7 linked regions of the Cricetulus griseus genome follow. The protein of the gene in region 6 interacts with the protein of the main gene of each other region in a pairwise test. Links are inferred from orthologs where the notes say so. Each region holds a gene or a part of one and is shown on either strand. Other genes may lie near its edges.

Evidence for each region.
Region 1: the proteins of Zgpat (region 6) and Bend5 interact in binary tests that used the Homo sapiens proteins (3 or more experiments, as listed by UniProt). The two-hybrid records come from large-scale screens. The link is inferred for Cricetulus griseus from reciprocal best matches to the Homo sapiens genes ZGPAT and BEND5.
Region 2: the proteins of Zgpat (region 6) and Zbtb8a interact in binary tests that used the Homo sapiens proteins (3 or more experiments, as listed by UniProt). The two-hybrid records come from large-scale screens. The link is inferred for Cricetulus griseus from reciprocal best matches to the Homo sapiens genes ZGPAT and ZBTB8A.
Region 3: the proteins of Zgpat (region 6) and Cdr2 interact in binary tests that used the Homo sapiens proteins (3 or more experiments, as listed by UniProt). The two-hybrid records come from large-scale screens. The link is inferred for Cricetulus griseus from reciprocal best matches to the Homo sapiens genes ZGPAT and CDR2.
Region 4: the proteins of Zgpat (region 6) and Dvl2 interact in a two-hybrid assay, tested with the Homo sapiens proteins (2 studies listed by BioGRID and IntAct). The two-hybrid records come from large-scale screens. The link is inferred for Cricetulus griseus from reciprocal best matches to the Homo sapiens genes ZGPAT and DVL2.
Region 5: the proteins of Zgpat (region 6) and Ccdc57 interact in binary tests that used the Homo sapiens proteins (3 or more experiments, as listed by UniProt). The two-hybrid records come from large-scale screens. The link is inferred for Cricetulus griseus from reciprocal best matches to the Homo sapiens genes ZGPAT and CCDC57.
Region 7: the proteins of Zgpat (region 6) and Krt15 interact in binary tests that used the Homo sapiens proteins (3 or more experiments, as listed by UniProt). The two-hybrid records come from large-scale screens. The link is inferred for Cricetulus griseus from reciprocal best matches to the Homo sapiens genes ZGPAT and KRT15.

What each region holds. Positions count from the first base shown.
Region 1 is NC_048595.1:38,560,093-38,564,056, forward strand, and holds the start of Bend5 (BEN domain-containing protein 5), read right to left. Parts: upstream 2,801-3,964; coding exon 2,575-2,800; intron 1-2,574. UniProt on the Homo sapiens protein: Acts as a transcriptional repressor.
Region 2 is NC_048595.1:23,663,049-23,667,210, reverse strand, and holds the start of Zbtb8a (zinc finger and BTB domain-containing protein 8A), read right to left. Parts: upstream 2,801-4,162; 5' UTR 2,428-2,800; exon of another isoform or gene 2,339-2,427; intron 1-2,338. UniProt on the Homo sapiens protein: May be involved in transcriptional regulation.
Region 3 is NC_048596.1:79,675,557-79,679,847, forward strand, and holds the start of Cdr2 (cerebellar degeneration-related protein 2), read left to right. Parts: upstream 1-1,491; 5' UTR 1,492-1,746; coding exon 1,747-1,822; intron 1,823-4,291.
Region 4 is NC_048600.1:83,851,011-83,854,325, forward strand, and holds part of Dvl2 (segment polarity protein dishevelled homolog DVL-2), read left to right. Parts: intron 1-908; coding exon 909-978; intron 979-1,230; coding exon 1,231-1,376; intron 1,377-1,509; coding exon 1,510-1,619; intron 1,620-1,722; coding exon 1,723-1,858; intron 1,859-2,011; coding exon 2,012-2,102; intron 2,103-2,214; coding exon 2,215-2,284; intron 2,285-2,370; coding exon 2,371-2,510; intron 2,511-2,590; coding exon 2,591-2,667; intron 2,668-3,315.
Region 5 is NC_048600.1:133,406,168-133,410,372, forward strand, and holds the start of Ccdc57 (coiled-coil domain-containing protein 57), read right to left. Parts: upstream 2,801-4,205; 5' UTR 2,626-2,800; intron 1-2,625. UniProt on the Homo sapiens protein: Pleiotropic regulator of centriole duplication, mitosis, and ciliogenesis. Critical interface between centrosome and microtubule-mediated cellular processes. Centriole duplication protein required for recruitment of CEP63, CEP152, and PLK4 to the centrosome.
Region 6 is NC_048599.1:540,403-544,657, forward strand, and holds the start of Zgpat (zinc finger CCCH-type with G patch domain-containing protein), read right to left. Parts: upstream 2,801-4,255; 5' UTR 2,525-2,800; coding exon 1,944-2,524; intron 1-1,943. Other genes in the region: Arfrp1 (ADP-ribosylation factor-related protein 1), read left to right, coding at 3,478-3,570, 3,859-3,946, 4,135-4,217. UniProt on the Homo sapiens protein: Transcription repressor that specifically binds the 5'-GGAG[GA]A[GA]A-3' consensus sequence. Represses transcription by recruiting the chromatin multiprotein complex NuRD to target promoters.
Region 7 is NC_048600.1:112,452,061-112,456,297, reverse strand, and holds the start of Krt15 (keratin, type I cytoskeletal 15), read right to left. Parts: upstream 2,801-4,237; coding exon 2,312-2,800; intron 1,451-2,311; coding exon 1,368-1,450; intron 1,250-1,367; coding exon 1,093-1,249; intron 688-1,092; coding exon 526-687; intron 427-525; coding exon 301-426; intron 143-300; coding exon 1-142.

The sequences.
Region 1 (3,964 bases), on a different chromosome or scaffold from region 6:
TCCTGGGTTCCCAACAGGTTTACTTCAAGACAGCTACAGTGGTTGGCTTGGACAAATGTATGCCAACGTAACACACTTATCACCAAATGCCGTAAGTGGTTCGGAAGTGTCTTCTGAAACCACACTACTGAGGTCAGAAATAATTAATTAACCAGGACCTGTCTACACTTGCAAAGCCACCTCTGCCTTCCTCTAGAGGAACTATTTGAGGAACTAATTCCCCAAACTTGGGCACCACAGCACAACTCTGCTCCTATGACTCACAAGGTGATAAAAGCCTACAGGAACCAGTTTTGTTTGAGTCCCTAAGCCCCTCAAGGAGGTTGGTTGCATTTAGACAATAGCAAGGTCTTTGCATGGGTCAGATGAGCTCTCTTCTGGTGAAGCCACTTCAAGCAAGCTTCAGAGCCACCAAGCTCAACACACAAGGGAGAGGACTTCCAGGATACATGAATTCCCAGGTTCACACTGGCCCTTCCAATCAGGTCTGCACCAAGAACAACAGTTTCAATTTAAAAATTAACCAGTTTACTGGAATTCAAAATGTAGCCCGGCTAACCTCAAGTTGCCATTGTCCCCACCCCTCCCTGCCAGGAACTCACCCACCTCTTTTCTTCTCCTAAGGAAAAAACTGGAGATGAGAAGGAGCATGTTTTAACTTGGTTTGCTGAAACTGGGACCATAGTTTACTCTGCTGAGTTTCTATCCAATGCTTAGGGTTCTTGCTGATGTATGCATACATGTACATATTTTAGTATCTCGTTGCAACTCGTGTTGACTTTAAAAGGAGAGTTGGTGGAGGCTGCCATCTGCCTAACTAGCCTCTGGTAGTCCTTGAAGAACTACATGTATCTACACTTGCTGAATGAATGGATGTCTATGTCTGAGTGGACAGACATGTAGATCAACAATCTGTAGACCAGGAAAGGCCTTTACCATGGACTTCTGATATCCACCCCTTCCACTCTCATGGGCTTCTCCAGGTCTCTATATGACAGGATCATCAAGACGCATGCTCTCTTTTCTTCTGGCAAAAGGGAAGCTAAAGTTACACCTAGTTATAATTTCCTTGGGCTTATCCTCTTGCTGAATAGATTCCTAATCCCTTCCTAAGTAATTAAAGGCAAGCAAGCAAACAAAACCTAATCAGCTACGAAGACTTCTGTTCTAAAACCTATCTGCCTCACTCATGTTTTCCCTGGACCTTGGTGTCTGGTGGTGAGTGGACCTACAGCTCTGTGCCCCCAGGGCCTGTCAGTGAAGTGGTAAGGACCCAACCTGTCAAAAAAGGGACCTCACGGTGTTGATGCACTTCAAATCTATTGCTCCTTTATTCCCACAAACCTACTTTCCAGAGGAATTAGAAAGACTTCAGCCATGAGGCTGAGCTCCACTCAGCTTGTCCTGGAATCCTGGGCAAGTCACTATGATTCTTGCTAGGTTCCTCTTTAGGCTAAAGGAAAGAGAACACAGGACCCTGGAAAAAGTAGGAAAAGTGTCAAAACCACAAAATCCTGACAGTCTTCATTGGGGTCCTAGTTTACCCTGGGGTTGTCTTCTGGGTCGAAGGTGACTCTGTCTCTGCTTACTCAAAGGCAGCACTCTTACCAGTAGCAGCCACATCTCTGCCCCCACTCCTACTCCCCACCCCCATGGAAGTGACAAGCTCCTTTTCCCTGCTTGGTGTGCACCCAAGCCTTCTACAAGTGGCTGGGAAAGAAGGCCAACTGTCTACTTGGAGAGGAACCCCGTGCCTATGTATGGCACACTCCAGGAGGCTGAAAAGCTTGGCTTGTCCTGTCAACCAACCAAATCTCTGTATCTTTACCCACCAAGCTAGAAACTATCTGCCTGTCTGTCAGTCTCTCTCCCTGACCCCGTGTGCAATCAGAGTTAGCGGATCAGGCCCTAACCTGAACTAGAGGCTGTTTGCCCCCTTTTCTCTCTCAGGGAGCTTTCTGGGAGGTGCAAAAAGGGGTGTGGAGGTGAAGCTCTTTTAGGACCCTCTGCCACTTGGCCAGTACAACTGAAGTTGGGTCGCCTGGTCCTGATGATGGGAGAAGGTGTCAGAGATTCTTTCTGTGATAAAGAGCTCCCATCTAACACACCTAAAAATGCTTCTTGCTCCAAGAAGACACCAAGGGCCTTAAAGGGAGAGAGGAAGGAACAGTTTGAGAAACTTAAGATAGAAAGCAACAGAGAGGAAAGCAACTGTGTGTGAGAGAGAGAGGTAAAGGTGAGAGATGGAGAAATGACAGTAAGTAAGGGGAGGCAGCTAGTGAAGGGAAAGTGAAGAGGCAGGGAGAATACAAAAGAGTCGGAAAGATGAGGGTAGGGAAGGCAGGCTGACAGCCCGGCGCGGGAGTGTCAGAGAAGCAAGGAAGACAAAGGGGACCCTTGGGTCTTTTTAACTGGTCTGGCCTCTTAGAGACACCTGGTACCCAAAAGAAAGCCCAAGGGGCAGGAAGAGGAGGCTAGAGCAAGCTGTGGCTCCCCGGCCCCGACCGCTCAGCCTCTCCCAGAGCCAGCCCCAGTCCGCCCGGACCCAACGCCCCTCCCGGCCCGCTTGCTCACCTGCCAGAGCCAGGATCTGGGCCTTGTGGAGCAACAGCGTGCCCCAGTCCCGGGGGACACGCGGGGGGCTCTCGGGCTCGGCGCCCAGCTCCTCCGGGCCCCGGTACACTGCGTACACCTTCTGGTTGTCAAAATCCAGTCGCGAGCGGGGGCTGAAGTCGCGCACGCACGACACGGGCAGCGCGTAGCAGACGTTGTCCTCCAGGAACCGCACAAAGGCGTACATGGTGGGCGCCGGGGGCGGGCCCGGGCGCCGGTCAGCCCGCGGGGCGGCGCGGAGGTGGGGACCCCGCGGGGGGCGTGAGCCGCAGCCGGGCCGGGGGCGGGGAGGCTCCCCGGGGCCCCGGCTCCCCCCACTGTTATTGTTCCTGAAAACCCCGCTCTGCCAATCGGCTGCTTTCGCCTGGGCGCGGAAAAGGAGGGAGTGGGGAGAGCCGGGCGAGGGGCGGATGAGGGGGTTTGGAAGCGCACCGCCACTCGCGAAGTCAGACCCGAGCAATCACAGCCGGAGTGAGATTGCAGTAAGGAGGGGAAAGAGCGGAGATTCAATCGCCTTAATAATAACAGTAGCATTGCGGGGTGGGGAAACACAGCTAAAAGTCGCTTTCGGCCGAATTCAGTAGTTTCAACAAGCGCGCTGCAGAACAAACTGCATTGCAACGAAACTATTTTGCAAAGGACCGGAGGGAAGGACTGAGGCTGGTGGGCTGGTAGTAATTTTATATGAATCCCCAAGTGTAAACTTGCAAGTGAGCCGAAGTTTAGTGTTTTGAATTTAGCCAGCCTCTTTAGTTCCTTTAGCCCCCGCCCCCTTCCTTCCCCCTTTCTCTTTCTTTTTGCAAAACTACCAGCACCTGCTGTGAGGGTCAGTCAGCCAGAAACATTCCCCCAGAGCTGCCAAACCAGTTTTGGCCAGAGCTGGACTTATCTGAGGTTTCCAGTTGGACCAGCTGCTGTGGTGGCAGAGACTTTGTCTCATCCTAAGGGAGCAGTGGTTACCCCTCTTTCCACTACTTTTTCGCCATTGAGGACTCGCCTCCACTGCATGCTGCCTCTGGGAAGGGACACGTTGAAATAAAGCAGGGGTGGAGGCTTCTGGGGAGCTAGGGCTTTCTGGAGTACTTTCAAGAGTTCAGGAACAGAACTGGTAGAACAGCAGTCCCTGCTCTAATATCATAAGCAGACGAGAACCTGGAAAAGTTAGTTCCCGCAGAGAAGTCACATCTACCAATGAAGGAAGGTTGACATGGCTCTCTGCAGGTGTAGCTTCCCAGGGGGTATGCATAGCATAAAATTGAGCTATTACCATCCCTATTGGCCAGCCCAAGTCCAGGGCATTTGTCAAAGAGAGACTCAGTGAATTGGGGGGAGGGGGTAAACAAAATTTCAC
Region 2 (4,162 bases), on a different chromosome or scaffold from region 6:
AAAAAATGTGGCTGGCACTCGGGAGGCAGAGGCAGGTGGATCTCTGTGAGTTGGAGTGAAAGACCCCGCCCCCTGGCTGGTTCTCTCTCGGTGACACTCCCGTACGCGCGCACACTCCCACACGCCTGGCGGCTGGCTCCCTCCCAAGCCGGTTCACCCAGGCGGGGGGCCCTCGACCCAGGCCCGCCCGCCTGGCGCCGCGCCCCGGGGCTGGGGCCGAGCGGGGAGAGGACGCCCCCCCCATGGGGAACCTCCGTCCCAAGGTCAGCCATCTGGACGCGGAGGGGGGAATTGGGTCTGTTGTACCAGGTGCAGACCTTGAGAATATACTGATAACTCTGTACCTCATTAAATTGTCCAATAGAATCCCTGTAACTATGCTTTTCGCTTCTGCACTGTGCTTTTTAGCTATATAAGGACCCCTCTCCCTTGGCTCGGGGCTTAGCCTACCCAAAAGCTAAGCCCCGGGGTACCAGCGCTACTAATAAAGCCTCTTGCTCTTACATCCAGAGTTCGTGGTTTCGCTGATTCCTGGGTGCGGGTCTCCTTCTACGAAAGTACCTCTTCTGAGGTCTTTCAGGAAGCCAGTCTGATCTATAGAGCAAGTGCCAGAAGAGGCTCCAAAGCTACAGAGAAACCCTATCTCACAAAACAAAAACAAACAAAAAAACCAAAAAAAAAAAAATGTGGCTGGATGGTGGTGGCGCACCCCTTTAATTCCAGCACTCCAGAGGCAGAGGCAGGTGGATCTATGAGTTCGAGGCCAGCCTGGTCTACAGAGTCAGGAGTTCCAGGGCAGCCGGGGCTACACAGAGAAACTCTGTTTGAGAAATAAATAAATAAATAAATAAATAAATAAATAAATAAATAAATAAGGAAGGGGTCTGGGAATGTATCCCAACAGTAAAATATTTGTCTAGCGTGTGCAAGTCCCTGGGTTCAATCCCGAAACACACACACACAAACACAGTGAGCCCAGTTCCTATAAGGCCTTGAAGACTATAGGTCTTCTGAGCCTTTGGGTTTTTTTGGTAAGATGTGGGGGTGGTTGCCATTTAAGGCTTGGGGAGGGTTGGGCATATGGTTCATTAGTCGAGTGCCTATGTAAACATGTATGAAGTCTTGGGTTCAATTCCAGCACAGATTCATGCCTGCAACCCCAGCACTTGACAGGTGGCTGTAGGAGAAACAGGAGTCCAAGGTCATCACAAACTATATAGATTTGGGGCCAGCCTAGGCTACATAGGACCTTGTCTTCAAAAGAAGATACTTTTTAAAAATCAGGGAAAATTTAAAAAAAACAACAACAACCTTATATCAACCCCTTTGATATTAAAGAATATAATTATGCCATTAAAAGATTTAAGACAGACTGAAATTCGACTAGTTCATCCCAACCCTCCCGAGGTAGAGATAGAATCAAAATTTCAAGCTAGCCTGAGTCCAGCTTAAAACAAAATTAAATAGGTAAATGGAAGTAAGCCTTAAGTGATAAAGATCAGTGAAGGTTTTTGGTTCTTGGAGACTGACTGCTCCAGGAGGCTGCTGGAATAGGAGGGCTGGAGAAGTTGTCAACACTCCCTGTCTAGGGGTGAGATTCCGTGGTTAGAGTCTTTCCTTTGCAAGGGAGAATAAACGGCCTGAACAGGTAGTTGTCTTATAAGAAATCAAGTGAACTATTTCATGAAAGCGAAACCACTCCATTTACTAAAGTCCTGCAAACATAAAGACTTCTAAGGTGTTAGCGGTGTGTGCGGTTGGGTGCCCGCTAGGTGTGAATCCCATTCCAAACACGTCTCGGAAAGACGTGGAATACTGCTAACCGCACGGTCAAGGGCGACTAAGCGCGCCAGAGCGCGAAGGGACCAAACCAGATAGTGTCGCCAGGTGGGAGATGCCAGGGACATTCTCCCGGGAGCCAGCTGGGGCTCCATATTCCTGTCCTCGGTTCTAAGCTCGGAACCGTCGTGTCGTGTCGTGTCGTGATCGAAAGCGAGAGGGCGGTGGGTGGAGTGAGAACGCCGGGCGGCAGCGCCCCGCGCCCCGCGCCCCGCGCGCCCGCGCCCCGCGCCCTTCCCCCGCCACGGCGCCCGACGGCTGCAGACACGCCCCGACTCCGTGGCGCCGCCTCCCTACCGCCGCCGCCAGGAGGCTCCGGCGCCTTCCCGCCTTTCCGGGGCCGGCCGCGGGCGGGGCGCGGGCGCGAGCGGCGACGACGCAGCCATTGTCCCGCAGCCGCGCCCGGGCCGCCGCGCCGCCGCCCGTGCCTCCTTTGTGGCCGTCGCCGGCCCCGGAGCTCTCCCCGAAAACGCCTACACACCGGGGCGCACCCGGCGGCCTCGCCGCCCTCCGCCAGGCTCTCGGCCGGGCCCGCAGCCCCGACGCCCCGGCCGCCCTCTGCCCGCCCGCGCCCTCGCAGCCACTTACCGCGGGGCTCTGGCCGCTCGTGCTCGCTGCGGAGTAATTCCCGGTTCCCGGTGGGGGAAGCACCCCCTTCCGAAGCCGAGGCTGTGCGCCCTAAAACAAGTAGCCCCAACGTGGGAGAAACAAAAGGTATTTGCTGACGTGGGCGTTGGACAGAAACGCCCGAGGGCTGAGGACACAATTAAAGGGGCAACGCACAGATTTCAGGCACCAACCAGCAGCTTCGCCCACTCCCCCTGTCCGTGCCCACACCCGGCTGCACCCTCCGCAGGCGCTGGGGCGCCCAGATTCCCCAGCAGTTGACTGCGGATCATTCTTTTAGTCGCGAGCTTAAATTTTAAAATTGTACTTTACGTTGGGAAAGGCGCCTCCGGAGGGCAGAAAAAGGGCTAGGATTTCTAAGATGTGGGGATATTGGTTTAAGGACAGAGGGAGGGACTTAGGCGTGCCCACAATTACTGTATAAGTACATATGACATTATTGTTCTTAAGTTTAGCAACGTCAAATGGAAGAGATTTCCACAAATTTCCTCTCTTTATCGAAGCACTTATTCTAGTCAGGGATAACCCTTTAGAAACCTTTGTAGGTCCCCTTCAGACCATTTGAAAAGGCAAGCCCAGAGAGGCTGAGATATTGAGAACATGATTTTATTTTGTGTTTTTGTTTTTCAAGACAGGGTTTCTCTGTGGCTTTGGGGGCTGTCGTGGAACTAGCTCTTGTAGACCAGGCTGGTCTCGAACTCACAGAGATCTGCCTGCCTCTGCCTCCCGAGTGCTGGGATTAAAGGCTTGTGCCACCACCGCCAAGCTAAACTAAATTAATTTTATATTTCCTCATATTAGTTGTTAATTGCTGTGAAATAGTGTATTATGATGAAATGGGGGGAGACTCAAATCTTCAAAGCATACATTTAATGTTTTTTTGAGGGGTTCCTCTCCCAAGTCTTAGTTGGGCCTATTAGGGTCTTGTTTCTTCGGTTTCCTCACCGATTAGCTAGAACAAAACATTTGGTCTTTCCTGAATATTATACCTGTTTACTCCAGAGTTGCTTTGTGATTTAGATGTGTTTCTTTACCTTTTGAGGTAATGGAAGGAAAAGTAGCCAGAAGCTAGTTTGAAAATCCTTACCACACCTTTAATCAAAGCACTCCAGGAGGCAGAGGCAGGCAGATCTCTGAGTTAGAAGCCCTCCCAGGACAGCCAGAGCCGCATAGTGAGACCCTGTCTTGAAAAAGAAAACCGTTATGGTTCAGCATTGCTGAATATGCTCAAGCTGTTCTAACATTCCCATTGAAGATTTATCCCAGAAAGAGCTGGACATTATAGTAGCTTATTGCAGCACTGGAAAGGCAGAGGCAAGCAGGTCTCTCTGTATTCAAGGCCATCCTGGTTTACAAAGAGAGTTCCAGGGCAGCCACAAGGAGACCCTGTCTCAAAACAAAAACATTCTGCTGCCAATTAAGCCAACCAGGAAGGTTCCTTTGCACCCTAGGGGGCCTGGCTTGCAATGCTTGCAAATAGCAGCCTTTTGTCCATTCCTGCGTCCAAGAGGAAGTTGGAAACAATTCTCCAGCGGCTATTCATGTCTCTGATCTGGAAGCTAGCCCTAGTCTACACTCCAGACAGGTATGTAGGGGAGCCCCAGGGCACACTGGCCACGGTTAATTTAGGCCAGGTCATCCTGTCAATCCAAACCACATCTCAGAGCAGAGGGGCCCCACCAAATGGAAAGCAGGT
Region 3 (4,291 bases), on a different chromosome or scaffold from region 6:
GAGGAAAACCTCCCAGAACAACTTTACTGTAGGAAAAGGATGTGGTAATGCATGGTTTTTATCCCAGCACTCTGGAGGCTGAGTCAGTGGATTTCTGTGAGTTCCAGGTCAGCCTAATCTACATGTGTCTGGCCAGCTGGGGCTACACAGTGAGACTCTGTGCAAACAACAAAAATAAAACTTACACTGGGGAGGCTTTCTTGGCCTTCACCAGACCACTATCCCAGGAGCAAGCACTTAGTGTTACAATGATTTAAGCAAGGTTGATTTTATAACCCACAAGAATGAAGATGGGCTGGAGATGTAGCTTAGGGGTAGTGATTGTCTGGCATGTACGAGGCACTAGGTTCATCCTTAGCACTGAAAAAATAAATTAGGATGAAGTTTTCCTTTCTCCAAATTACCCAAGACCTTATTCGTTTATATGGAAAAACAAAAGTAGCTGAGGATCTGTAACTTCTACCTAGCAATTTCTCCTATTTTTAACCATAGTAATTTGTGTACTTTTTTTTTTTTTTTTTTTTTTTTGGATAACTGCTTTCCATCTTAGTTCTGGTGACACTCCGGATGTGTATGAAGGCGTTACTAACTTCAAGAGGTATCTAGCGACTCACTATTGCCAAAGCTAAACGTTGACTTCTCTCCCCTCACTTGTTATAATTCTTCTCGTTTCCTCCTTAGACATTATCTATTAGCTCTAACATCCTAACAGCTGCGCCGACCTTTCTCCGTTTTAGAGTTTTCACGTGAGGCACCCGAAGGTGCTAAAAGCTCAACCCAAGAAACAATTACGTCTGCGTCACCAAGCGGACACTGCCCTGCTGGCCACAAGTGCAATGCCTGCTCCCAGATGTTTACCTTGGGCTCTATGAACGTTTAAAAAATTATGCAAAACTGCTGGCAACTTTTGCCAAGGGAGGCGTTTCCCACGGGCCGGTCCCAGCCTTCGAATGTCAAGTGGTGCTGGTGACCGCCGTTTTAGGAGTTAATTGCCATCCCCCCAAACTCAGACATTCAGGAGCAGCTTAGGCTCAATAGCGTTCTCTCGGCCTTAACCTCGCGACGGACCCTGAATCTCCCTCCGCGCATCACCGAGGGCAAAGCCGAGGAGGGCTGTCCCGCTTTCGAAACCTTCGGTGGGAAAATGATGCCCACTGCCCAGAGCCGGGAGTCCTCCTCAGTTGGGTACAAGACACGCCAGGGAGCCGAGAGGGTCGCCGCAGCCGCCTCCACCAGGCTCCGGAACAGGAGTGTATTCACTGAGAAGACGAGACGCTAACAAAAGGGGCGGGGCTGCCGGCCGCACCCTCTCCGCCTTTACCCGCCTCCTTTGTTCCTTCCTGAGCGTCTATTGGCCAAAGACACTCGGGCCCGCGACCTTCTTTGAGATACTATTGGCTGAAGTCGCTGTCGCTCTACCAGGGACCCATTCGCAATTGGTCAAGGCGCCGCCCGGGTTTGAATCGTCTCCCCGGCCTGGGAGGGCTCTGCCAAAGTGCCACGTTGGGCCGGGCAGCGGGTGTGTGGTGCCGGCTGCGGGCGCCACCCGGGGTGCGCTCTCTAGGGCGCTGGCCGTTGGGCGGCGCGAGGCGGACGCGGGCCGGCGGCGGGAGTTGCGGCGGGGCCGGCGCGTCCCGCCCGAGGGCGGCTCTGGCTGAGGGCGGAGGGGCCGGGGGACAGCCCGGGGCAGCGGCCGAAACGGCACGGTGGCGGCAGAGCCCGCTGCCCCCGGACACCCCCAGCGACATGCTGGCAGATAACCTGGTGGAGGAGTTTGAGATAGAAGATGAACCGTGGTACGACCACCGGGACCTCCAACAAGGTGAGGGCGAGGTCGCCGGGGTTGGGGGGTGGAGGCCCGGCAGGCGACAGGTGTGGAAAGTACTAGAAAGTTCCTTAGGCTGGTGGTCTGGGATGCGCGGCCGGGGGCTCCTCACTCTCACCTGGCAGCGGATCCGCCCATCCCGGCCGCCGGGAGCAAGCGCGCGGCCCTCGGCCCTGCGGATGTGCAACGCTGGCTGATGCTCGGCGCTTTAAGAAAGCGCTTTCTCGGGGGATGAGCGGATCTATCTCCTTCGGGGACCTCTGAGGTGGGCAGGGGTGAACCAGTGTGCCCCGCTCTAGAAGCAAGCTGCTGACTCTGCTTCTGGTCCTGCTGCCCTGCTCGCCCTCATGCGCTTTTCATGGCCCGCAGAGTCTGCAAGCCGCTGCAGGTGGTGGGGGTGCAGTACCGCACAGCAGTGCGGTACCCGCGCCATCACTCTCTGAGAGTGATGTTTTGTTATCCCGTTTCCCAGAAAGCAGAAGCTGAGTTAGGTGGACTCCCTAAAGCCGAATATGGGAGCTAGTATTTTTGATCCCACGCACTCGGGATGAGGAGCCTGTAGACACTGTTCGGACCTTAGCACCCCAGTGTACAACTTACAATTGGGTGTCAAACTGTTTTGTTTTGATATATTACTTTGGCGTCGTTTATCGGGTGCCAAGTGAAATTATGTGAGAAGAGTTCTATTATGCCTTTTTTTTTTCATTCGGATTTTCAATTAGAAATTATCCTGCCTTGGCTTTCTTGATTGTGGCATCTCCTGAGAACAATCTCAGAGTGCCCTCAGTTAGAAGCCAGTGGCCCATTTTCTTGCACAATCGTAGTAGGATTTTTCGCTTGAGGACACTGATAGGCTCTTAACACAATGATGGGCGCCTTTAATTCTCCCAATAACATCATGTGTTGCCATAGGTTACCTCTGGCTCAAGTAGATACTGTTGGGGAAATGAGGTTTTCACTGCAGACTCCAGAGCAAACATTCTTAACCACCATTCAGAGTGATCACCAGGAATTCTTCCAAGCATCCTGTTTGTTCTATTCTAGAGAATTATTTCCACTCTAAACTTGTAGTGAAAATTATCATCTTTGAGTTGGCTATTAAACACGGCTACTTGTTCACAATTCCACTGAGTTTGATAGAAAAGAAAAATGTGGACTTGAATGACCCTTACTTAGAAAAGAGAAAAAGAAAACAGGTACCTCTCTGGACAGGTGGTAATTTGTTATTTATTTCTGTCTGTCTTGATCCCTTAATGTGCAACGACTTAAGCCCAGATGGATACCTGTACTTGTATAATTGAAGCTACCTAGCAGTTACAATGCCGATTTGCTATCACATTTCTCCATGTCCAGAAGACGAATGTGTCACATACTTAGCCTATTTCAGATTTGCCCCATAAGGATTGATGACCTACTTTGATACTTAAGGACTGAAGCAGTCATCATGCGATTGCAACATTCTACTATATGAAAGCAGTTCATATAATCCAAGCAAGAGATTTTGCTTTGCCATATTTAAGAAACATCCAAAATCTTCAAGGGTAGGCTGGTTATACTTGTCTAACATCATATATAACACTTCATAATAGAAATGTGATTTAATAATTGTTGCCCTGAATTGAAGCTCTCTCTCACACAGGATTACTGTTTTCACAGCTTTCCTCTAACCAGTGCCTACTCTAACCTGCTTCCCCAGAAAGTTGTCAGGACAACCAATTTTAATATCCCAATTTACTGAGCAATAAACAAAACACGTTTGGGACTATGTGTGGGATTCTTAACTTCGGATCAAAATGAAGTTGTCACATCTTCATGTTTAGCAAATCCTAATATCTGAACTTATTTACTGTCAATTTCCACTTGGAATTTCTCCTATACTTTCCAAAGCCTTTTACATCTGTTATCACAACAGTAGACTTTGCCATAGCTTAAACAGCATATGGAGTACTAATAGGAGACGTGAAATCCCAGCTGTTAGCTCGTCAGTATGCAGCTGAAAGAATAATGGCTGCTCTTTTGAGCATATTTTCTCCAATTTTGCTAACTTGTATGTTAAATGCTTTTGTGTATTTGGTATTCCAGGATTGTGTGCATGCAACATACCACTGAGCCATTCTAGAACTAAACTTTGAACAGAATTTACAACTGTTTCTCAAGAACATATTGTTTTCTCTATACTAGGTATTTTTGGTTTTTGTTGTTGTTGTTGTTGGGTTATTTTGGTTTTTTTGAGACAAGGTTTCTCTGTAGCTTTGGAACATATCCTGGAACTCATTCTGTAGACCAGGGCTGGTCTTGAACTCAGAGATTCGCTTGTCTCTGCTTCCCGAGCACTGGAATTAAAGGAGTACGCCACCACCACCTGGCTTTATACTAGGTATTCTTATAGGCAGTGGCACCACTATCCTAGCCAGCTATCTGTTAGGAAGGCAGGACTCCACTCGGGGGTTGCTGTTCATGAATCCA
Region 4 (3,315 bases), on a different chromosome or scaffold from region 6:
GTACTTGGAGGTTTGGATCAGATGGGAAGCACTCTTTAGAGCAGCATTATATTTCTAAGGATGAACTGGGGGTGGGTAGTAAAATAAGGCAAGAACCTGAGTGAAAGCCAATAGTTTCACTGTAAAAGCCGAGTGGCCAGGCACCACAGTGATGCATGCTGGGCATGGTGACATACCTTTAGTCCTAGGAGGCAGAGGCAGACAGATCTCTGTGAGGTCAATCTAGTATACATAGTGAATTCCAGGCCATCCAGGGATACAATGAGACACCCCCCCCCCCCGAAAAAAAAGGTAGAAGATTGGGTCTGGAGGGATGGCTTAGAGGATGAGTGCTTGGTCCTCTGAAAGAGTTCAGTTCCCAGCATCAAAATGGTAGCTCATTACTACCAGTAACTACAGTTCCTGTAGGATCTAATGCCCTTTTCTGTCCTCTACAAGCACCCTCACATGTTCATATGTGTGACAGTTGTATACAGGAACATGTACATATAAACATTAAAAAACATGAAGAGTACTAGTGAGGGCAGCAGAGAGTCAACATGCTTGGGTTGGATGCAGCTTGGGAGAGGCTTTGAATGAGATTTGGGGTGGGGGTACTAATCTATCTCCCCCCCCCTTTATCTCTATCTCTTGTTTTTTCAAGACAGGGTTTCTTTCTCTGTGTAGCCCTAGTTGTCCCGGAACTCGCTCTGTAGACTGGAATAGTCTAGAACTCACAGAGATCTACCTGCCTCTGCCTCCTGAGTGCTTCTTCATCTTTGGGGGGGGGTAGGCAGACAGGGTCTCTATGTAACACTGGCTGGCTTCAAGTTCACTGAGCTCCTCCTGCCTCTGCCTCCCAAGTGTTAGAACTGAAGGTGTGCACCATCACACCTGACATCTTCCTGAGTCCTCTACTCTCTCCACAGGGTGGTGAAGGAAGAGATTTCAGATGACAATGCCCGCCTACCTTGCTTCAATGGAAGGGTTGTCTCCTGGGTAAGGAGAGTCATTACCAAGCTGCTTCCAACCTCAGTCTCTTTCTGCAACTCCCCGCCTTGCCCAGTCATTGGTGGCCCTGGCTTCCCACTTCTACTTGTAGAAGCAGAGGGCATTCCTTAGCCATACTGGCTGTTTTTTCTGGGCTGTTCTCCCGGGTCTCTGAGATCCTGTTCTCTTTCTGCCCCTTTCCCTAAGTCTTTCCACTTAAACCACTACCCAATGGAGCCATGTTTTCTTGCACTCTTTTAGCTAGTGTCATCAGATAACCCCCAGCCTGAGATGGCTCCCCCAGCCCATGAGTCTCGGACAGAACTGGTTCCTCCACCTCCACCATTACCGCCTTTGCCTCCAGAAAGAACCAGTGGTATTGGGGACTCAAGACCTCCATCCTTCCAGTGAGTCCTTTACACTCTTGAATCTAGGGGAGGGGGGTAAAGAGGGAATCCAGTCCAAGCCCTTGGAGAGGGGAGACTGAGGATTTGGTGCTGTTCTGTTGACACTGGTTGGAAACTGTCTCTACCCATGTAGCCCCAATGTGTCCAGCAGCCATGAAAATCTAGAGCCTGAGACAGAAACTGAGTCTGTTGTATCACTGAGACGAGAACGAACTCGAAGGAGAGACAGCAGTGAGCATGGCGGTGAGGGGACAGGCCCTGGAGGCAGGGTAGACTGGGAGCTGGGAGGGGAGGTTCAGCATGAAGGATGGGAGGCCTGGCTCCTGAGGTTCTCCTTTATACATAGCTGGTGGCCACAGGCCCAGTGGCACCTCAAGGCTGGAGCGCCACCTGGCTGGGTACGAGAGTTCTTCCACCCTCATGACCAGTGAGCTGGAGAGTACCAGCCTAGGAGACTCTGATGAGGATGACACCATGAGTAGGTATGCTTCACACATCTCCACCCAGGAATCACTCTCCCCTCCCTCCCTCCCTCCCTCCCTCCTCCCTCCCTCCCTCCCTCCTCCCTCCCTCCCCTCCCTCGGGCTCCCTGACCACATCTACTTCCAAATGCCCTGCTTCTCAATCGCTATCAGATTCAGCAGTTCCACTGAGCAGAGCAGTGCCTCCCGCCTCCTCAAGCGCCACCGAAGGCGGAGAAAGCAGCGGCCACCACGCATGGAAAGGGTGAGGTTTCTTTGGGAGAAGTGGGCCTTTGTTTAGCTGGTCCACAGAGGCTTGGGGCTTGTCTCTGTACTGGTGAAGAGCAGTTCACCTCTTTCCTGTCTTCCTGCCACAGACCTCATCCTTTAGCAGTGTCACCGATTCCACAATGTCTCTCAACATCATCACAGTTACACTCAACATGGGTATGGAAGCTCCTAATGAGAGAAGGGGAGGGGAGGGTCTCCAGGGTTTCTGGGGCTTAGTCCCCTCATGTGAACTCCCCCCACAGAGAAGTACAACTTCCTGGGCATCTCCATTGTGGGCCAAAGTAATGAGCGGGGTGACGGAGGCATCTACATCGGCTCCATCATGAAGGGGGGCGCTGTGGCTGCTGATGGGCGCATAGAGCCTGGAGACATGCTTTTGCAGGTGTGCTGACAGGTTGGACACTGGCTTGGGCAGAGGCTCTCACCCTCCCACATTGCCTCTGACCCACTTCTCCCTTCCAGGTGAATGATATGAACTTTGAGAACATGAGCAATGATGACGCTGTACGGGTACTGAGAGACATTGTGCACAAACCAGGGTGAGCCTCTGCTAGGTTCCCACCCTTAGGCCTCTTGTTTTTAAGTTCTTTCACCTTTGTTGTGCAATTTAAAAAAGAAGTGAGGCCAGGCATGGCGGCACACACCTCTAATCATAGCACTTGGAAGAGGCAGGTGGCACTTTGATTGTGGTCTACATAGTGAGACCCTGTCTCAAAAAAAAAAAAAAAAAAAGCAAAATAACAAATCTAAGTGGCAGTACATGTCACTCCAGCTTAAATCATGAAAAAATTTTGGTGACTACCTCAGAAAGCCCACCCACTGCACACTCCTTCCCACTTCCACCCTCCTCACTGATGGTAATTACTCTCTTGACTTCTTTGGTCAAGAAAACCTTTGATGGGTTTTTCCACCCATGCCTGAATCCTGGAACAAGATGGTTCAGTGTTACCTGTCTCGTGCTTCCTGTGAATGAATGGTACAGTGTGTACTCCCTTGTTTCACTCAGCACTATGTTTTTAACTTGCCCATATTGGTGAGTCATCCACATTGTGGAGCCCTCCACTCTCACGTTCTCATAGCCCAGTTATGTGTGTGTTCCTTTCTCCTGTATCTTATGCATCAGACGTTGGTACTTCTGAAGTCTCTTCCCTTTGTGTGCTTGACTGTGACTGGCCTTCTCTTTTCCA
Region 5 (4,205 bases), on a different chromosome or scaffold from region 6:
AAAGTGAAGATGATGGGGGTTGCCTCACCTATACTCAAATCAACAATAATCAACCAACCACAGACATAAAACTCATAATAGGGGCAGGGGGACCACAGGGGTTTGCTTTTGTGTTGTGATGTACGTATGCATGTAGGAGAGGGCACGGTGCGTGTGTGAAGAACGTGGCATTATACGTGTTGTCTGTAGGCTATGTGTATGCATGTGTGGTGCTGTGAAGGTATGTGAGTATGTTATAGCAAGGTGTGTGTGCTGTGTGTGATGTAATATAGGTGAGTGAGTTCAGGTGAGTTAGGGTATATTGTGTTATGTGTTTACACCAACTTCAGAGTTCCTAAGCCAGTAGCTGCTCTTTTTTAAATATTTTATTTATTTATTATGTATACAGTGTTCTAGAGGGCACCAGATCTTATAGATAGTTGTGAGCCACCATGTGGTTGCTGGGAATTGTGAACTCAGGACCACTGGAAGAGCAGCCAGTGCTCTTAACCTCTGAGCCATCTCTCCAGCTCCTAGGTGCTCTTTATATAAGCAAGGATACTACTTAGAGAAAAGTTCATTCATGAAATTACTGATAACAAAAATTAGTTACAGTCGGGCTGGAGAGATGGCTCAGTGGTTAAGGGCACTGGCTGCTCTTGAAGAGGGCCTGGTTCCTTTTCCAGAACCCACATGACCACTCACAAGCATTTGTAACTCCAATTCCAGGGGCTCTGATGCCTTCCTCTAGAGTCCACAAGCTCCTTCGTATATATGGTTCCACAAGCATACACACAGACATAAAATAAATGAAAATTTAAATTACAGTCCAAATCATCAGAACTAAAGAAACAAGAGTGCATTTCACAGGAAATAATGGATTTTTCCATTGGACAGTGGGCACAGCTTTGTGGCAGGTCTTCCTGTAAATTCTAAATCACCTAGAACAGGGCCTGACAGCTGCTCTGTAATGGACCAGGTAGTTAGTATCTGCCAGGGGCTTTGGGTCATGCTAAGTGCTCAGGGATTGGTTGGTTTTCTGCTCAGGGGCAGGACAGATCTGGTTTTGGTTTCAGGGCCCAAGTGTGTTTCTTTCACTGGTCCTTTTTAGCCTTTTGGCTCTAATTTTAGGGCCAGGATGTATTTCTTTCACTGGCTCTGATTATAGGGACAAAGCACGTTTCTTTGGCACTGGTTTCAGGGTCAGGGTGTGTTTCTTTGGTTCTAGTTGCCAGGCCAAAGTGTGTTTCTTTTTGGCTCTGCTCAGGCTGTGTTTCATCAGCTGGCCCCTTTTCCCTCATATGTTTTCTTTATAAGACTTGCCTTGGTCAGGTGTCTCTTCACAACAATAAAACAGTGACTAAGACAATGGGCTTATATTGGTCTATTTCTGAAGCTAAGGAGTAAATTCCTGCCTGGTGCTCATGGAAGAGTTTCATAAATAATTCCAGGATATAGGTGGAAGGACAGTGACCTGTGAGGTCTGATCTGTGGGGACATCAATAATCTCATTCTTCATGACAAGCCCCAGGCCTGTGTCATCCTGAATCCCTTGGAGCTGCTGAGTCTCCTTCACCTGCTATCTTCATGGAGGACTGGCCCTGTACCCAGACAGGAGCCCTGGAGAATACATTCTGTGCCTGTTTTCTGTGGCTCTCCCAGGGCCGCAGATGCCAGAGCAGTGGTTGAAACCTACTCTGATCCTGGTTCTAAATAAAGACCTTTGGAAACTAGATCCCAGTTTATCCTGAAAGGTCTGAATGGTTTATTCGGCTAACTTGTGATTCCTTTTCTCTACCCAACATAGCAAGAATAAAACATGGCTGGGTGGTGGTGGTGTATGCCTTTAAACCCAGGACCCAGAAACCAGAAGCAAGCAGATCTTCGAGTTAGAGGCCAGCCTGATCTACAGAGTGATTTTCATAACAGCCAAGGCTACATAGAGAAACCATGTCTCGAAAAACCAAAACCAAACAAAGCAATGAAAGAATAAAACGTGAAATTAAATGAAAAAAATCAGGAAGTTTTCACTGATGTATGCTAAAATTAGTCACTGAAAACACGGCTAGAAGCAGGACTTTACACAAGCAAGCACCTCCCCCGAAAGGTATTTATTATTTATAACGGGAAAATAGTAACCTAACTTTGCTTATTTAGTTACTTTTTTTGAGACAGGGTCTCTACTTAGCCATGGGTGTCCTGGAACTATGCAGACCAGACTGGCCTCGAACTCAGAGATCTGCCTGCCTCTGCCTCCCAAATGCTGGGATTAAAGGCGTGCCCAGAAGAAAACAGTAACTTTATGATAGCCATTTGATAGACACCACTGTCTCCTGGGAGGCACGAGGGCAGAATGCTAAATGTTAGTAACTCAATCTTATGTTAAATATCGGGCCAGCCGAGGATGAGATGCAGTCTACAAAATAACGGACTTATGAAGTCAGCGGGGCAGCGCGGCGCTGATCCAGGCTGCAGAGCAGGGGGAACACTGCGGCTAACGTGCTGATTCGGGGCACCCTGCACCCAGTGCCGCTGCCGGCCTCGCGATGGTCGCCCGAGGCTACTACTTCCTGAGGGAGGCGTCTGGGGAGCCTGGGTCAAAGCCCCACGGGAGCCGGAACCTGAAGCGATGGCCATGCCACTCACCCCGTGCTCCATCGGCAGGGCCCAGCGAAATCCTCGTCGCCTCCCGGCGCGCGACCAGGCACCGCGCCAGCCCGCTCTGGGGCCGCCGGGATTCCGAGCGCCAGCACTAGCTCGCCCGCTCGCCCGCCCTCCGGTCGCACCTCTAGCGCGGGCCACGTTACCATAGCGACTGGAGTCCGCGGCCTGGGTCCGGGTGCACTGTGAGCATCGCTCCGATCCCTCCGTGCAGAAACAGGAACCCCAACACAGAGTTCCGACCTCCGCGGGGTCCACACTGGCATTGAATAGGGTTTGCTGACCTGTGGGACTCCCTGAGTAGTGCAAAAGCCCGCACCTGTGGCGCTCTGTGTCCTCCCCCCAGGTGGCCTGAGGGTCCCCAGGGTGCCCATCTTGTAGCCCCAAAGGGCTAATTTCATCTGCGAGGAGGCGCCGGCAGGCGGACGGGCTGGGAGCTCAGGTGGAGAGCCTGCGAGTCGGGCGTGGGGAGTTGCTCCGTGGACGCAGATCTTTCCTGCATTGCGTTAGTGTAGCCTGCACTTGGGACTATGGCAAGGGTGCAGTGGACTGCACATGGCAAGGTTGGAGGGAGGTTGCACCGGGGGCCGATCACCAGGCGGGGAGGGGGGGCGCTAAGTGAAGGGATCGGTCGTACTTCGGAGCTCTGGGTGAGGGGCCACATTGAGTGCTCTCCAGGGTTTGCCCTGATACCTCAGGCATCAAAAGGTGAGCGTTTATGCAGGACCCAGGCTTTCATGGACTAAGTAGAGTTGAATGGAGTGAAGCAGGTTACTGGGAAGGGCCTGCATGAGCCCAACATCAGGCTTGCGTCTGTTGCAGGCGTGCCTCTGTTTCTGTCTTAGCTAGTCATTTAAATCCTCGGGTTATCTGAGGGCCAAGGAGATGGCTCAGTGGATGGGCGAGCCTGATGACCAGAGTTGCTCTCTGGGACCTACATAGTGGAAGAAGAAAACCAATTCCCTTGAGTTTTTCTCTGACTTCCATATGTTGTGGTGTGCATTCGCACCATCACACAAAATAAATAAATAAATAAATAAATAAATAGGTAAACTGTGTGGCCCAGCCCTGGGTCAGAAGCCAGCACTGACTCACACACCTCAGCCAGCACAGTTCCCAAGGGATGGGGAGTGTCTGGGAATCCCGTGCTCCAGGAGGGCAGCATCCAGTGGTCTAGCGTCATTCCTACTTTCCTGCCTTACATTCTGTAGTCTTCCTAACCCCATCAGTCTTTCCCTTGTACTCGCTGTTCCCACTTCCTGATAGCATGCTTGGTGCTTGATCTGAACCCTCCCCCAGACAGCTTGCCTTTGTCCTTCCGCTGCTATCTCCTCAGCCATATCTGAATCTCTTGGACCCCTAAGGGCCTTTCGTTCTATTAGAATGTGAGGAAGAACCAGCTGTCAACTCTTTGCTACCTAATTCAGAGCTCCTGCCTTAGCTGTGGAGTCCAAGAGGCAGACCCAAGCCAGAAATATGCTCACACCCTTGTTTCTGCCTTACTCAGTCATATTCCTGGGAGTTTCCTAAGGTGATGGGGGAACTGGGGCCCCCGTGTATATGAA
Region 6 (4,255 bases):
GACATACACCAAAGTTATGGTAATGCAGGTGGAGTTAGTTAAATTTATTTTTAAGAATCTAAAGCAAGCTGGGCATTGGTGGTGCACGCCTTTAATCCCAGCACTCAGGAGGCAGAGGCAGGTGGATCTCTGTGAGCTCGAGGTCAGCCTGGTCTCTAGAGCAAGTGCCAGGATAGGCTCCAAAGCTACATAGAGAAACCCTGTCTCGAAAAACAAAAACAAAACAAAACAAAACAAAAAAAATCTAAAGCAAATTCAAGAAAACAACTCATTCATCCTGGATGGTTGTAAAGATGGTGTTAGATGTTTTATTGTCTTTTAGTTCTGCCCTAAAATTGATACCACAAGCAGCTCCTTGTGATGAAGTGGTCTCACGGCCAGCAACATTGTACCGATCACTTAGTGCTTTGGTGTCTGTCTCTCCATCTATAAAGTGGGGTGGGGACTGACAAATGGTTTGACAAGTAAAGGTACCTTCTGCCAAGCTTGATGACCTGAATTCAATCCCCAGGGCCCACATGGTTGAAGGAGCCTACACTCAAAAGCTGTCTTTTGACCTACACATGAGCACCATGGCACATGCATATATACATACAAAATAAAATAAAACAAAAATTATATAAAATGGGATGAGTTCAGGGCCTACCCATAGGTTCGTGCACAGAGAAGTGAGCATATGTCAGTCAGAGAAAGTACTTAGAGGTATTAAATCTCTCATCACAGGGCTTCCCACAAAAAGACTATGGCAGATAAAGCAGCCACTGGTTATAGCAACATGTGTATTCTTGGAGAAAACCCACTGAGCACACTGATCATTTATGCACCTATAGGCATGAGAAGGAAAGAGAGTGAGCAAGGAACATGTCAAGTCTACTAGGATCTAAAAAAGATGTGCAGAGCCAAGCTAGGTAGCACATGCTTGTAATCCTGGCCCTAGGGAGGTAGAAGCAGAAAGATGAAGAATTTAAAGTCATCCTTGGCTATATATGGATTTCAAGGCCAGCTTAAAGCTACATGAGATCCCATGTTAAAGAAAAAGTAAAGAAATAAAATGTGCAGAGTACAGATGTAACCATGGAAGTAAGAGCTTAAAGTGATGTAAGAGAACCACAAACCAAGGAATATAGGTGGTCTCTGGAGGTTGGAGAGATGGCTCAGTGGTTAAGAGTATGTGTAATGTTTTTGAGGAAGACCCAAGTAGTTCACTACCAGTAGTCCTGAAGCTCCTGCTTCAGGAGATCCAACACCTTCTTTTAGCCTCCTCATGCACCTGTACTCAAGTACACATGTATTCACAAACACACACACATACACACAATTAAAAAGAAAAGTAAGTATATAGAGCTAGAGAAATGGCTTGGTGGTTGAGAGCATACTGCTCTTGCAGAGGACCTGAGTTTGTTTTCCAGGATCTATGTTGGGTGGCTCATAAGCACCTGGAACTCCAGCTGTAGAACATGCAACACCTTCTGGCACCTGTACTCATGTTCACATACCCACACAAATACACACAAAAATAAATCTTAGCTAGAAGTGGTGACACACGCCTTTAGTCCCAAGCACCTGGGAGGCAGAGCAGGTAGATCTCTGAGTTCAAGGCCAGACTGATCTACAGAGCGAGCTCCAGGACAGACAGGGCTACACAGTGAAACTCTGTATCCAAAAAAAGAGGGAGGGAGGGTGGGAGGTGGAGAGAGAGAGAGAGAGAGAGAGAGAGAGAGAGAGAGAGAGAGAGAGAGAGAGAGAGAGAGAGAGAATGAATATAATGTGTTTACTTATGTGTTTACTTAACAGGGAATGTTCCTGTTAAAGCCTGTCAGCCACCTGAAGCTCCCCCTTCTCTTTTATCAATTCTGCGGGGTGGAGAACAAGTTGTGAAGGCGGCAGGCCACAGCAGTGGTCCTGCTCGAGTGACCCTTATTGCTAGTAGCAGAGGGCTTTACCTGCAGTTCTCCTTGAAGCGGCATTTTCCCTCCAGGAAGAACGGGCAGGGCTTCAGGGACTTGTGGGTAGGGTACAGGTAGAGTACGCGAACGCATGCCGAACCATCCTCTGCCTCTTCAGTGCCCACAACCATTGCGTTGTGATACTCTAGCGTGCCCCAAGCGCTGTGGTAAGGGGCATTCACTTTAGCACCGCTCAGCTCCTCCTGATCTGGATCCTCCTCGTCTTCCTCCTGTGCAGGGGAGGTGGGTCCAGGCCGCACCACGCTCCCAGGGACAGTCTCCGAGTCATCCACGGGGGCGACGGGTGCCTCCCCTTCCTCCGCCACAGCCTTCTGGAAAGCCAAGTACTCAGCGTCCTCCTCTGCCTGGTGCTCCAGGTCCACTGTAGCCAGCAGCTTGCTCTTCCTGACCGACAACAGGCTGGCCTCGGTGAGCTCTATCAGTTCCTTCAGATCGCCCTGCAGCTGGCGCAGGTCCGCAAGCTCGGAAGCGTCCAGGCCAGCACCAAGAGCCAGCTCTACCTGCCCGAGCTGGGCCCGGTAGGTCTGCAGGGCCGTCTCCAGGTTGTCCTCGTCCATCGCTACACCGCGCAGGCTAGTTTCGGAACCGCTAAAGCAGACGAGACCTGAGGGAAGAGCAGTCGGCAGAGCTCAGGACAACGCCGCCCCCTCCCCGGCCGCTGGAGAGGCTGAGGAGGACCTCGGCGCTGCCAAGGGAACCGCAAAGTATCCCACCGCGTCCTCTGCGGTCCGCAGCCCCGCCTCCCGCCGGTGCTCGCAGCCTACAAGGGCTTCCGGCCTCGCCAGCAGAGCCCTCGCGCTAGCCTTCCGCCCGCCGCGGGCACTTCCGCCCGAGAGCTGATGCTGCCGGAAGTGCCCGCGTTCGGGAGCCTCCGGGATGGGGCGCGCGGGGGCCGTCGGGATGCGGCTCCGCCCTCTCGTACTCAGTCGGCCGGTCGGTGTCCCGACAGGCACCGCGCGGGGTCAACGCGAGGTCGGTGGGGTTTGCGACGCGACGACGGCGTCTGCGGCTCCGAGATCTGAGCAGGTGCAGGTGGGTCTCCGCCGGACTGAGGGGCCGGGGTTCCAGAATCCTGGGGTAGGGGGCAGGGAAGCGGCTTCGGCAGCTGGTTCTTTGGCTCCGTGGGCCCGGCAGCGGGGGGGGATCCAAAGGCGGCCCACTCAGAAGCTGACTCTCTGGTAGCTACGACAGTCGAAGTTCCCAGTGCTGAGTTGAGGGTCCGGAAAAGAAGCCTTAGGAGGGCGGAGCAGGGTAGGCCGCCATGGGTTTTTCAGGACTGATGGTGTATTCACAAAGATGACCCGCAGTGGGAGTAGTGGCCCAGGTTTAGCGGGTGGTCGGTGGTGGAGGCAGGGTCCGGAATCGGGGGCTGGGGAGAGGGGGGCAAGGAGTCGCGAGCCACGAGGCTCCACATTTGAAAACTAGCAGGACCGACGGACCACTGATGAAGCGGACAGGAGGCCGATAGCCCTGGTACACACCTTGACATTTCTCAGGGTGCCAGGGCAGGATGTACACGCTGCTTTCGGGGCTGTACAAGTACATGTTCCAGAAGGATGAATACTGCATCCTGATCCTAGGCCTGGACAATGCCGGGAAGACAGTAGGTGCCTGTTCTCTCACCAATTCCCTTTCCCTGCCTTATGTTCTTTGCAAATCTAATCCCTACCCAAGACTACAGGTTAGTTGCCACCAGCCTCCCGAAGAGCATTCAACAGGCAGAGGTTCGTGTGCATGTGTGTATGGGTGTGAAGGCCTGAAGTTGCCCAAACCATGTGGGTGTGAAAGCCTGAATTTGCCCAAAGCATATGGATGTGGAGGGATATTTAGAAAAGACACCAGGAAACTGCTTTAGCTGCCACTACCTAACCACCTTTCTTTCTTTCCTCAGACCTTCTTGGAACAATCAAAAACACGGTTTAACAAGAACTACAAAGGGATGAGTCTATCCAAAATCACCACTACCGTGGGCCTAAACAGTAAGGGGGATATGAGCTTGGGTCCCTTAGAGATGCAAGCCCGTACGTAGCCCAGCTGGCCAGGGGCCAGATCCCTCTCTGTGCATGCCTGCTGGGATTGGTACCAGAATGGTTTTCCTCATTCCAGGAAGAGCTGGGACTTTGTAAAGAGTAAGGTCAGGAGCTAGCTCATTCTATCCTCTCCCCAGTTGGCACTGTGGACGTGGGGAAGGCTCGTCTCATGTTCTGGGACTTAGGTGGACAAGAAGAACTACAGTCTTTGTGGGACAAGGTGAGACACACTATCTGCTCTGTACTGTATTTCTCTAG
Region 7 (4,237 bases), on a different chromosome or scaffold from region 6:
TATATTCCTGGTTCTGAGCTTCCATCTCACAGCGGAGCTCGCTCAGCTGGCTCTCCAGGCTGCTAATAAGCCCCTGGATCTGCTGCAGCTGTGTGGCATAGCGGCACTCCACCTCTGCCAGAGAGTTCTCCAGCCCGGCTTTCTGGTGGGGTGACAGATGCATAAACCCATTGGGCTAGAAGGCAACCCACTGGAGGGAGAAGAGCAGGAAGGGTGGTAAGGACTGCCTGAGGTGACAGGAATGTGTGAGGTGAGGCTTTACTGGCCATGTGTCACCCAGTAGGGAGAGAGTGACCGTACCATGCTGAGCTGGGACTGCAGCTCGATCTCCAGCCCCTGCATGGTGCGCCTCAGGTCTGTGATCTCCGTCTTGCTGGACTGGATCATTTCTGTGTTGGAAGCTACCTCCTTGTTCAGCTCTTCCGTCTGCAAGTCACACATGAGAAACATGAGCCTCATGGGCCTCCTCAGAGGCCTCTGGAGTGGGAAGGAGGGAGAGAGCAGAGCTGGGGGTGTCAGGCCCACCTTACTGAAGAACCAGGCCTCTGCATCCCGACGGTTTTTCTCCGCAATGGCCTCATATTGTTCCCTCATCTCGGCCAGCATGCGGGTCAAGTCCACCCCAGGTGCAGCGTCCATCTCCACATTGACCTGGCCCGCCAGCTGACTGCTGAACTCTTTCATCTCCTGCAAGGGGTGGGAGTGACAACCATTTAGAGACAAGGCTATAAAGCAGACAAAGAATCGAGAGTCCTGAGGGCTAACTCTGACTGTCTCTAACTCACAATGTGACCTTAGCACATCACACCACCCTATCTCTATTCCCCATTGGAACACATGGACCCCTCAGTTCTGAGGATCTCTCTTGCTCTGGGTCCTAAGAAACAAGGACCTTGAGATAATAAGCCCATGAAGCAAACCAATTCTGCAGTTCACACATGGCTTGGCCTTGGGTCCAGATTACCAGAGATTAGTGCCCCTTCTCTTCCATGGGGCCCCCCAGGTACATTTCTTAATCCCCAAGCCCTCAGAGGACTGTGACAAAAGACTGGCTGTCCTGGGCTTCTTCCTACCACCCTGTCTTGCTGTTACCTCCTCGTGATTCTTCTTCAGGTAGGCCAGCTCCTCATTCAAGTGCTCAATCTGCATCTCCAGGTCGGTCCTGGCCAGGGTCAGCTCGTCTAGCACCCTGCGCAGCCCGTTGATGTCGGCCTCCACACTCTGGCGCAGGGCCAGCTCGTTCTCATACCTGGGGAGGGGAGAGGAGCCAAAGTCAGGAAAGGTGAGGGGCCCAGGTTCTGAGTCATAGAGGAGGAAGGCTAGGTAGAGGGGGTGAAATGGACAGGGGTGGAGAAATGGGAACACACTTGAGCCTGAAGTCATCCGCTGCCAGCCTGGCATTGTCAATCTCCAAGATGACACGCGAGTTGTCAATGGTGGCCGCCAGTATCTGCAGGAGACAGAGTTGTACCTTAGGGCTGCTGCACGACCCCCTTCGCCAACTACTGCCCAGCTTCTCTTCCTGTGTGCATCAGTTGTGCTGGCCCATGCTCCCTTCCCTGTGGCATCTTCAAGGAATGGAAAACTAACGAGGCAGTATTGCCTGGGATTGCCTGGGGGCATGGCTAGTCAAGACCGTGCTGCAATGGATACAGTTGGCTCTGTCAGGTCAGGACTCTCGGGAGACACACTATACCAGCCTACTTGGGCACAGCTCACAGTGGCTGCCTCCTGCGTGCCTTGACAGAGCCCTTCATCTCCAAAACATTGCAGTCATTGGGAACTTGGACAGCAGCTAAGGAACGTGTTTGCCACTAAGGAAAACAGATCCAGTTAGTTAAAAGGGAAAGTGAGGGGGTGGCACAGCCTCCACTGAGTTCCCTGGTCTCCTAAGATCTAGCAATGATCAACAATAAAGACATCCTTGAGGCCTGAAGTAAACAGCCCTGGCATTTAGGACTCTTGAGGTTGTGCCTGAACAGCACACGGGTCACAAAGTTAAAGCAATCAGTTGCAAAAATCCCTGAAAGTTTTTGTGAGGCAGGGAGAAGGAGCTGCTCTCTTTTGTTGCCCTCATTTGCAATCCTGTGTATCCAAATCAGATTCCCAAGACCACTCCCTCCCCTCCCCCAGCACTGCCAAGTGGAACACGTGTGTTCCCACATGTGCCTGGGAAGCAGGTGCATCCCAGCCTTGCCAGGTTACACAGCAGGGAAGGACTCTCTTAGTCAACAGCAATGTTGCTGTTGCATATGTGTACAGGGCACCTACTGCCTGTTTCCCTCTGTCTGACATATATATGAGGACTTACTTTGTCCCGGATCTCTTCCATGGTCTTAAAGTAATGGCTGTAGTCTCGCTCCGGACTGGCTGGGCTCTGCTTCTGGTACCAGTCTCGGATTTTCACCTCCAGCTCCGTGTTAGCCTGCTCCAGGGCACGTACTTTGTCCAGGTAGGAGGCCAGGCGGTCATTGAGGTTCTGCATGGTGATCTTCTCATTGCCAGAGAGGAGACCTCCATCGCCACCACCAAAGTCACCAAAGCCACCACCAAAACCCCCACCAAAGGCTCCACCAAAACCGCTACCAGCACCACCACCAAAACCACAACTCATACCGCCCCCATATCCCCCTCCTGCCCCCGAGGAGACGAACCTAGCAGAAGAAGCAGAGATGCTTCGGCTCCCACCTCCCCCGTAGAGACTCCCTCCACCAAAGCCGCCTCCACCAGCACGGAGGGAACCCCCTCGGGTAGAGCCACCTCCAAAGGTGGAAGAAGTTTGCAAGAATGTGGTGGCCATGGTCAGGCAGCCTGAGCCTTCGTGTCCTTTTCAAGCAGGAGGGACTCTAGCAGGAGCTTCTGAGCTGGGCTGAAACCAGGCTGCAGTGCTGTCGCCCCTAGCCTGGGATTCCTTATATACTGTTTCAAGGGGGTGGGGGCCTTGCCTCCTCCCCCTGAGTGGAGCCAACTCCTCTGCCTTCCAGACAAATACAGCTGCCTGCACACCTCCACAGGGCTCGCTTGTGGTGAGTTTTTCTTTTCTTTTTTTTTTTTCTTAATGCAACAAGAGAGATGATTCAGAATTAATGGGGTTTTGCTCTAGGCCATGGTTTTAACACTTGGATTACAGGTTCATTTCTCACTCCAGGAAGGAGAAGAGAGCCACAAGAGCAAACCCTCAGCATAGCACCCAAGTTCCCTCATGTCCCATCCCGTTAGAGCAGCCAGGCCAGCTCTGCCTCCCACCCCAGCCCACTGCTGGCATGTGAGCCTCACCCCAGGTAGAAAGCTTCCTGCTTTCAGTTTCTCCCACCACTGCTCTGTACTACCTACTCAAACGCCCTATACATAGCCTTCGGGACATGGAAGTCCCCGGGAATGAGAACACAGGTGACCACAGTGCAGGCTAATAGGGTCTCAAGTCAACTTCCAAACGAGTTGACCAAAAAAGCCGGTGCCTGTCCCTCTCTCCCATCCCTGATACCTGGGCATGCTCTCTCCTCTCACAGCCCTCCCACCACCCCAATTCCAGAAGTCCCTCCTACCTCTTCAGTTCCCCCCCCAGCCCAGGGTCCTGGCTAGTTCACAAAAGCCCAGAAGGCTCAGGCTGACAGGAGTCTGATTGATGGTCCTGTCACCAGCCAACTGCACATGTCACTGAACCTCTGCTTGCTCCCAAGACGCGTTGGGGCAAACCTCTGCAGATAAGACCCAGGCGAGTTCCAGAAAGTCCCCCGCCTTCTTCAGCAAGAGACATGTCGCTGCTTAGCAGGGGCCAGATTAACCCCCATTTGCCTTGTCAGCTGCTGCCAGCTGGGGAGGGGCTGAGCTAGAGGCTCTGCTCTGCGTGCCTAAGTACAGGGAGGAAGGCGGAGGCAGGAAGGGGGGCTGGCAAGCAGGTGGAACACATCAGAGCTCAGAGGCCAAGGAATCAGTCACTGCAATACTGAGGCCAAAAAGGACAGGGTCTTCTGCCACCAGCTCTAACAGCCCTATTTCTCTAAGACAATGGCACTGTGGGCAGTGCCACCCAGACTGGAGAGAATCCACAGGAGGGCTTCTAATGGAGAGCTACAATACGAGAAAGTGAATAGGGCTCCAGCGTTCCTTGGGCCTGTGTTTAAACCCCATTTCTATGAATGACTCCTGTGAAGATCTGTACTCGTCAGTTTTCAAGGCTCAGCCTCTTTGTGTATAGGACACTCACTTTATGGGACATGCTGAGACTCAAGATTCC